Neodiprion lecontei: one gene and its partner. The main gene of each other region encodes a partner of the protein of the gene in region 2 in a complex. Links are inferred from orthologs where the notes say so. Each region holds a gene or a part of one and is shown on either strand. Other genes may lie near its edges.

Region 1 (3,764 bases), on a different chromosome or scaffold from region 2:
TGGAAAGATTAGCAACGGCTCTGCTTCAGGATCAAGAAAGTACCACTTGAAGAAATTTTCCTTGGATTTTTTTCTGCAGAATACCTTCAATCATTCGTTTGTTAATTTTTAATAAAACTCTGCATCTAGAAAATTTTTAATTGTAAGGTTTTCCGTGCTTTTTGAAAAGTGAATGATGTTTTCTTGTACTGCTCACTTTTACAAATTAATTCTTTGCACTCTTTTTTAATTAATTATTTACAACAAATTTTCTATACATTCGTCCGTTTTACGCATTAATTTCCCTCTCATTTCACAAAATGGCAAACCCACAAGTGGCTGAGACGATTGATTTGCACAATATTTAACAGCAATGTTCAACGAAATTCCATTCGTGAATAATTCATTGAGTTGACCTAAGGAATATTTTAAGCATATGTAATTTCTAATATTCAAGAGATGTAATGTAGCCTCTTCAATGATCGCTCGCTTGAATTGACATTCATCCATCATGTTTAGCTGTTAACTAAGTGCAAGATAATGATAATAATAAAACAAAACTTGTTACGTTAAAATTAATCTATATTTATTTCAATCAGTAGTTACAAATTTCATTGATCCCCAATTTCACAATTATGTCGTTCTTTAATCACAAATTACAAGTCCACCAAATCCATTTGTCTGAAATATCTGGCGACCAGGCAGATAAATAAATTCAAAGCTGTGACATCTTTAGCGTTCTCCTCTGTCTAAAAATAAATTACAAATATTATCCATAAAAAATTTACCTCTCGAAACATTTGCCACTCTGTTTTCAAAATGTATTTTACCATGCTAGCTCTGATTATCGAACATGTTCTAGCAAGCGAGCGTAAGCAGGAACACGTGTCTGGATTTAAAGGTAACTCGAGGGTAGCTAGTAGGGCATAAATCCAGCCTCCGTATGGTTGCGAGATCAGGCCCTTTTCTTCTACTGCTTCGACGAGATGTTCCAAGACTTGTTCGATCAGCGGCTGGTTCATGTTTAATACTAGTCCAAGCAACGGTCTCATGTTGCAGATGTACTCCAGCCAGCCAACCTGATCATCTGCGTCAGGCTGTAATTTGCACAAGGATAAGTGTATTCTGAAATCAGATGTGATCAGAAATTAAATCTTACCAGAACAGTTTGTCGAAGCCTGCGGCGACCCTCAGCATTTTGTAAATTGTGTTTAATCCGGTCGATCTCTAGTCTCACAGAAGAAAAGTCTGCTAGTTGACACTGCTGCCAGTCCAGAGTCGGAACCATCGAAGCTGGAGCCTCGACACATCCTGCTAGCTGAGCAATTGTTTATTACTCATTTCACACATCGTACAAATGATTGCTTTTGCCTGCTTGTTTTGTTTCATTGACTTACAGGCTTTACCGCCACCATGGGAGTCCTAATACGAGCTTTTATATTCTCTGCCACAACCACGTCGTCGCACTGCTGCGCCTCAATTCTAGAAATATTTTGCAATTGCAGTGAATTGTTTAGAGGGAAAATTAGCGTATTGAAAGATGGGACAGGAATACCGACACCACACGCTTGATGTATTCCTCTCCTGAGGATGGAGGTAGCATAAGGTCGAATTCCGCGTCAATTTCGCCCACAAATAAAGCAGGCTCTCTCAAAATATCCCCCATCTTTCGAGGCGAGGTATATGGTTAAAAAAAATTTCGTCGCAACGCGTGCTAAGAATTTCGCATTGTTGACATGTTTTTCCTAGGTTAAATTACGTTTGAATAACGTGAATTCCGTCATCCTTCGACGTATTATCGGTGGTCACATGCAGGAAGACCAGAAACTCGATATCATTTTGCAAGCTCTTGTTGCCATGGCAACGGGTACAATCGTAGTGGCGGCAAAATTGGACAAACGCGTGACGGAAACCCCGGGAAATTTAAAACTGTCTACCTATATAAAACGGTAATCAAAGTTTATTAGTCGTAAATGATCATGATACATTCTTTCCACCACGATGAATGATTCTTCTTATCGTCACGATTTATTCATTACTCTACGAATGTAGACATCACCGGGTGATCTGAACCTTACAACTTTTGGTGAGCATATGGATCTCTATACCTACTGTTATTTTTTTTTTTTGTTTTTCTTTTTTATTAAAATACATAAAATATGTACACTCGGTAGCCGTAGTAGCGACCTATTTACAAAAGAATGTGTGTGAAAAATTTGTTATTGTATGTTTGTCGGGACACAGTTCGATCGGCGCAGGCGTATACTAAGCTAAAAATACTGATAAAAAAACCATATTTAATAATATTCTTGAAATTCAAATTAATTTTAGGTGGATCGACATAATACATATAACATATTTATCGTACGTAGCGTACTAGACGTACATACATAACAAAAATATCTTAATTGTAAGTACAGCAGATCATTGATTGCGTATTGTATTGTATTAATCGACAGATATGATATCTGGACAAAAAATATTTATCATAAAAATCGCTCAGTTTGGCAATTGGCAATCTCAAATACATACGTATGAATCTCCATACGTACGAATAGATCGAATAAGACTGTATATCATGGATTGAAAAATCTGCGTCTAACTATTTTTTCCCGCAAGTATAATATAACCCGTATAATGAATTTCAATTTCTTGTTACTTTCGCGGTGTCTCTTGAGCCGCCAACTTGTTCCAGATCAATACCGTCGTATTCCAAAGCTCCAGCATTGTCGTAGTAAGCGTAATCGTAGTCGTTCTTCTTTTCCGACTTCGATTTTACCGTGGTAGATTCTTGACGCCGATCGACAGTCCTTGTCGTGGATGTGAACGGCCTTGGTGTCGCACTGACGAAATTTCCAGTTCTTGAATTCGGCGTCGTTTGCGACGCGTAATTGGTCGCTGCAGCCGACGACGGCCTCTGAGTTGTTGGGTTATTGTAGACAGTCCTTCTATAACAGATCATCACAAGTTAGACATTAGTGATAAACATATAAACACCTATTCCTTCAATCCAAGCACTTTCAATGAGAAAAATCACCTACCTCGGAACGGGAGTCGTCGCTCTCACGGTGACGGGACTCTCTGCGAGCTTGTTGACACTAGCGGGACTGAATCCGTTGACGGAAGCCGTTCTTCCGCCCTGGTCGAAGTTGTCGAAGCTCTTGGTGCTTCCGTCGAAATTCGTCTTAGATTCATAGTTGTTGTACTGCGTAGCAACCTTCTTCGGGGCTTTCGTAGCCACCTCGCGATTGTACTGTCCGCTGTTATCGTTGGACCTCGAGGTGTCGTAGGTCTGCTCGGTCTGCTGAGTGTTCCTTTCGCGGTACTGGCCGCTGTTCGTTGTTCTGGCGCTCTCGTACTGCCCGGTGTACTGATCGTTCCCTCGATTGATCACCTGGCTTTGGGTGTTGCCATTACCGATGGTCGCTTGTTTCTTGGTAACCGGACTGTAGGTCGTCGGGATGTAGCTGCTACCCGCAAAGCTGTTTGCGAATCTCTGAGTGGTTTGAGTAAAATCTTGCTGTCTGGTGGTCTGAACTTTGTTCGCAATCTGGGGCTCGCTGGTTCTCGGGGTGACCGAGTAGTCGTCGTAGGAGGTTGACGCGAAAGTCGAAGTCTGGAACGTGGTACCGCCGGTGTTCGCTGTTCTCTGAATGGTGTTGTAGTTTTTCTGATAGTAACCGGTGTAGTCGGTCGTCTGGAAGCTCGTGCTGGGTCTTAGGGTCGTCGGTTGTGTTGAGAATTGGTTGAACTGATTGGTAAAAGTCGGGCTGCTCTGGTCGGTG
Region 2 (5,001 bases):
CGACCAGAAAGAAGCGCGTGGTAAGCTGCTTAGTCACTATAGGGAGGAATTGCAACAGGTACAGAAATTGTACGAGGGAGCGAAAGAGCATATTTCACAGATGGACTTAGCTAACTGTCAACTTAAAGATGAAAACCAAGTTTCTACGAGGACTATCGAGGTAATTAATTTAACTCCTTGATTGCACACCCATGTCGGAAATAGTTGAAAAGTAATTTATCATATTATGCTTCATGGTGGTTAGGTTTAATTTTTTTTGTTTTTATCGTTCAACAAAGTCTACACAACTGTTTCAGCAACTGAAAACTATCGTGAAAGAGTTGGAGACCCGAGTTTCCGAGCTGCAAACACACCGAGATGATATGTCCCATAGCGAACCGGTGAGTATCAATTTCTTAATGGAAGATCAGATACTTCATTGATTTTTTGCCAAAAATGTTTTTTTCATCCAAGATACAAGTTTATACCTGATAAATTTGTTTTCAATAAAGTAGGACTTGCCATATTGAGGCGCTTTTCCCAGGTACATTTTAATTTAATATATTGGTATAAAGGTACGATGATTTCTGCAAAGTTGAAAAAATAAGAAATACCGAAAATGTAAACGACATGCCTTTCATACCGATGTTTTTTCATTTCAAATCACTTCAAATCGTCTCGGATGGTTTTCAATCGTACCACGCGCACGCTGGATTAACTGAAGGTCAATGACGACTTGTTTAATTAACGTTGCGGGTGACCCGTCCGCAGTTGATTATCGCGATAGTTTTTCCGAAAATAGATTACGGCTCGCAATCAGCCGTTTACCCTGACCTGTCTGGGGACTTGCTATTAATTTGGATTAGTTTGTACGGGGTAGCTATGTAGTAACTGAAATTTTACGTTTTGTAAAAATTAAATTTTTTTAAATGACCTAAACACAGAGACGCGAAAAATAATTGACCACATTTGGTACTGTAGTTGAGCGTAGTCTACGTGATTTTTTTCAATCGTTTGAGAAAGAATTTTTTTTTCTTGAATAATTCATACATCTTGGATCTGGTAGGTCTGATAAAAAAGTGTTTAATTGAGAAATGAGTTGTTTTTCACTGAAGTTTGTAACACAATAAATCGTATATTTTTATTTCCATCGGAAAGGCTGTTTTGAATCCAAAAAATAAGATACACTCAAATTTTTCCCTTGTTATTTTTGGTCTTATAGGAACCTAGTGTTTCTCCGCTTTATACTTAAATAGGTATACGTACAAAAAATGTATTTCTTCAACATAAAGGCCCAATTGGTGATCCATACGGAGAAAAATTTTCATGTTTATTGGGGTGTTAACATCCATTCTTTTCAGTCATCCGCAAGACCAGTCTTTAAAAATGAGCTAAGCTTCGACTTGGATACGTCACACTATTCGGGAAAAATAATCCCGCGGTCTCTGTGCGATGAAATGAAAGCTTCGGTAAGTGACAGCTGTGATCTGATAATTCACTATAACTGTAATATACACGTCTATACGTACTATGCTCAATATATATATATACAGTGTTACGTGGGATTCACGTTCGGCAACTCTGCATAGAATCGTTTATTGAATAATGGCCGCTAGTGCGTCAGTCGCAGCAGCTAGCCGATTTCACCTGATTGCGAAGCATGCGTAAGCTGCTCTCTTGCATTCGAGGATCGGGCATCCAGTATATTTAATAAATGACCCTGTATACATGCATTTTAAATGTAGATAATTCATAGTCCCTGCATAAGGTCCGCAAATACACGTTTAGTGTAATTTGTCGTTATACATATTATCAATTTACAGATGTATATGCACGTAGCTATCAACAACGCCACGTAACCGCTTCCATGAACTATATAGGTAATATTACTACCTCGATCTTGTTACAGGGACTCGAAGATCCGGACATCAGTCTGACGAATAAAATCGAAACACTGGACGAAAAAATGGAAGACCAGTGCATCACCGAATACTACAGCGTTATACGCGAAGCTGTGAAACAGCTGGAAAGGTGAAAAATATACGTATTTAAAAGGAAATCAAATTGTTAGAAAACTTGACATGGTATAATCCAAGAATTGATGTTCCTTCTAATCACGAATTGAATCAGTGTTTATTTATCAATCCATAGAGTTCTGGCCAGAGTTCAAGTGGCGTGTAACAAGGTGAAAGCAAAAACGGTACCTGCTCGGAACCCTTCGTTTGTGTTTGGAGAAATAGATGCAGATGGAAACAAAGAGTGTCGTTCTAGCGTCGAGGAGCTGTTGCGAATGTTAGAATCCGAAATACGTCGTACGCTGTCAATATTTTCTATTGTGGTTAGTACGGTTTTGTTTGAGGCATGCAGATAACCTCAGTAGATTTCTAGTAGTATACGGGTTATCGGCGTGCGAACTCGGCTTCGGTGGGGAGGGCGGACAAAGTAGATGGGGGCATATAGGTAGGAATTCACGGTATAAAAAACAAGGTGACGCCACGGCCTATCTCACTGAGTACTCTTTGAGCAACGAAACTGTGATTACTGTTCTGCCTCGGAAAAGTTCTCACAGTTTGTTAAACCGGCTTGGAATCTGGTTTATAGGTAGTTGAGCCTGCCTTGGATTGCCGAAAAATTCACGCTTGACACCTGACAAATTTTTTTGTATCAGTTCAATCGATTTCGACCTAATGCGCATATACCTTCCAAACAGTGTACCTACTCATTATCGCTATAGTCAAATCGTGAAAGAAATTTGATAAATCATTTGGGCTTAAAACCATGCGGATCTCACTATTTTTCGTCTTACAATCAGCAAAAGAATGGCCGTTGAAGGGGGGAGGGGGGGGCTTTGGGTATGCTCTCAAGTGAAATTTTCATGACAAATGGGCGACCTTTTCTGTGCACCGTATTTATCTCATCTGCGCAGCCAAGTTACATTGCGTCGCTCCTTATCCGTGGATACAAGTGGAAATGTATTCTCGAATCTATATACCATACGCCTATTCTTCCGTTTGAATCGTCGCAGTCTCTTGTATACATCTTTGGTAGATAGTACTCACAATCATGACGGCATTTATCCGAGGTATATTGTTTCCAGGTCTCGCACAAGGTCGTCAGTACCAACGCCAGTACGACAGATCCCGCGACTCGAGTTGATGTACTCGAACCTGACTCGACGCCAGTTTGCGATATTCTTCGAGGCATTAACACGGGCTTCATTAACCACGACCTCTCTACAAAGTGAGTCCATTACAGACGTATATATCGCACCATACGCGGCATCTGAATCTGCGATGTAGGAGTGCTATAGTATAAACTGCATACTACGTGTGATGCGAAGGTTGCAAAAAACAGTGCACTGTAATGTAGTGAATCTTGCGTTCATTTCCTACGTACATACCTGCCTGAACGATCAGTCGCGTGTAGCTCACTCCAATTGCTTCCGTTTATTTCCACCTATTCAGTCTCAACGTATGGCTCTCGTCTAACAAGTGAAACCGCGTACGAAATTGTGCCTAATAATTCCTTACCGATCCCAACTCCGAAAGTCTGGGGACGCGTCCTTAGTCCAGAAAGCTGCAAGAGATTTTCCAATCCTAAACCTGTTTATTATCTCTATCAATTATCCAGTTGAAAGTCATATTTTTACCAACTGCAGACTAATCCAGCAGCGTGTTGGCTCCTACAAGTATTGCCATCGCAGCTTGTGTGACTGTGAGGAGCCACACGCACATGTGCATACATAATGTATATACATATACCGGGTGTACAATACAGATACGTCCAGACACGTTTGTAAGAGCTTTGCAAAAAAAAAAATGCCGACACATGTTCTTACTTGCAAGAGGGAAAGGAGATGCCCTCCGTATAAAATCCCCATGGTCCCGTCGGAAATCGAGATTCATCCAGCGTTGCTGAGACGTAACCTCGGTGAACGCCTACGGCTCACCACTCGCAATCAGCTGGTCGTTAGAAGCGATATAGATCAAGGTCGAGAACTTTTTGGACCCCTGAAAGTATAACCACATGTCTCTTCTACACTTGATCATCTTACGGACATAGATTCGGCACGATGGCATTCACTTTTCACGCTCCCTGCAGCTTCGCTCGGCTAAATATACATATGTATATGCGTTCGCGGTACATGGCATGCGAGCTTTGCAGTTTACTTATGATCCTATGTATTATGTCATTGCGTATGCGGGCACGTATCATCCGACAACTATTCAGTAACTGAGAGAGGGGTTCATCAGTATTACGTGGACGTGGATCAGTGGTTTTCCTACTGTAAATTTATATAGAATCCTGTACCAATATCACCGAGTGGGGAACGTATCACGATACCGTATGAATTTGCAGTAGGCTTGGCTTTGATTGCAACGGTTTGCAGCGTATTGTACATTTGTTATATTGTAAATAATCATTACTGATCTTGATATTCACCTCGTATTTTGTACCACTAGTAAACGTAATGTAGCTGGTTTTGAGCCATTGTATACTCGCATATCTTTCTTTCCTCAATGTGGTACTCAAAAACGCTGTTCAGTTATATTTTCGTTTTTTGACTATTTCACTCATTTGGAAAATTGTTCATTTAATTTTTAAACCGAACTCAAAGTATTCCCTCATACATCGTATATCCTAAGTGGATAGATGTATACTTTTTAGTGGCGAGATTACAAGTTGATTTTTTTTTAAATCCACTTTTCCAACCGGGATATACCTGTTAACTTGAATTATAAATGATAACGATAATTTTCCAAATGAGAGGAATACTTGAAAAATGAAAATAGTATAACTGACAGTCATTTTAAGTACACAGATATGGTACGCGTGCATACTGTAGGTACACGGTTTCGGAAAGAAAAACAAAGAAAACTGTTGGAAGTATCAAAACGCACGCTGCGTTTATTATTTGTAATACGCTATTCGCGATTTCTTCATAATTTACTGCTATGTACACGACGAGTTTGCAAAAACTGGAATCGATTGATATTAGAAGTTTTGAACGACAGTTTACCT

Evidence for each region.
Region 1: gem-associated protein 5-like (region 2) and gem-associated protein 2 share a complex: the UniProt entries of both Homo sapiens proteins name them as parts of the SMN-Sm complex. The link is inferred for Neodiprion lecontei from reciprocal best matches to the Homo sapiens genes GEMIN5 and GEMIN2.

What each region holds. Positions count from the first base shown.
Region 1 is NC_060263.1:39,236,469-39,240,232, forward strand, and holds gem-associated protein 2, read right to left. Parts: upstream 1,794-3,764; 5' UTR 1,646-1,793; coding exon 1,539-1,645; intron 1,462-1,538; coding exon 1,377-1,461; intron 1,298-1,376; coding exon 1,139-1,297; intron 1,077-1,138; coding exon 810-1,076; intron 729-809; coding exon 636-728; 3' UTR 544-635; downstream 1-543. Other genes in the region: ubiquitin-like protein 4A, read left to right, coding at 1-50; probable cyclin-dependent serine/threonine-protein kinase DDB_G0292550, read right to left, coding at 2,624-2,927, 3,021-3,764. UniProt on the Homo sapiens protein: The SMN complex catalyzes the assembly of small nuclear ribonucleoproteins (snRNPs), the building blocks of the spliceosome, and thereby plays an important role in the splicing of cellular pre-mRNAs.
Region 2 is NC_060265.1:3,239,752-3,244,752, forward strand, and holds the start of gem-associated protein 5-like, read right to left. Parts: upstream 3,077-5,001; 5' UTR 3,045-3,076; coding exon 3,039-3,044; intron 2,318-3,038; coding exon of another isoform or gene 2,131-2,317; intron 2,011-2,130; coding exon of another isoform or gene 1,889-2,010; intron 1,449-1,888; coding exon of another isoform or gene 1,341-1,448; intron 381-1,340; coding exon of another isoform or gene 297-380; intron 161-296; coding exon of another isoform or gene 1-160. Other genes in the region: uncharacterized protein LOC107220650, read left to right, coding at 1-160, 297-380, 1,341-1,448, 1,889-2,010, 2,131-2,317, 3,077-3,219. UniProt on the Homo sapiens protein: The SMN complex catalyzes the assembly of small nuclear ribonucleoproteins (snRNPs), the building blocks of the spliceosome, and thereby plays an important role in the splicing of cellular pre-mRNAs.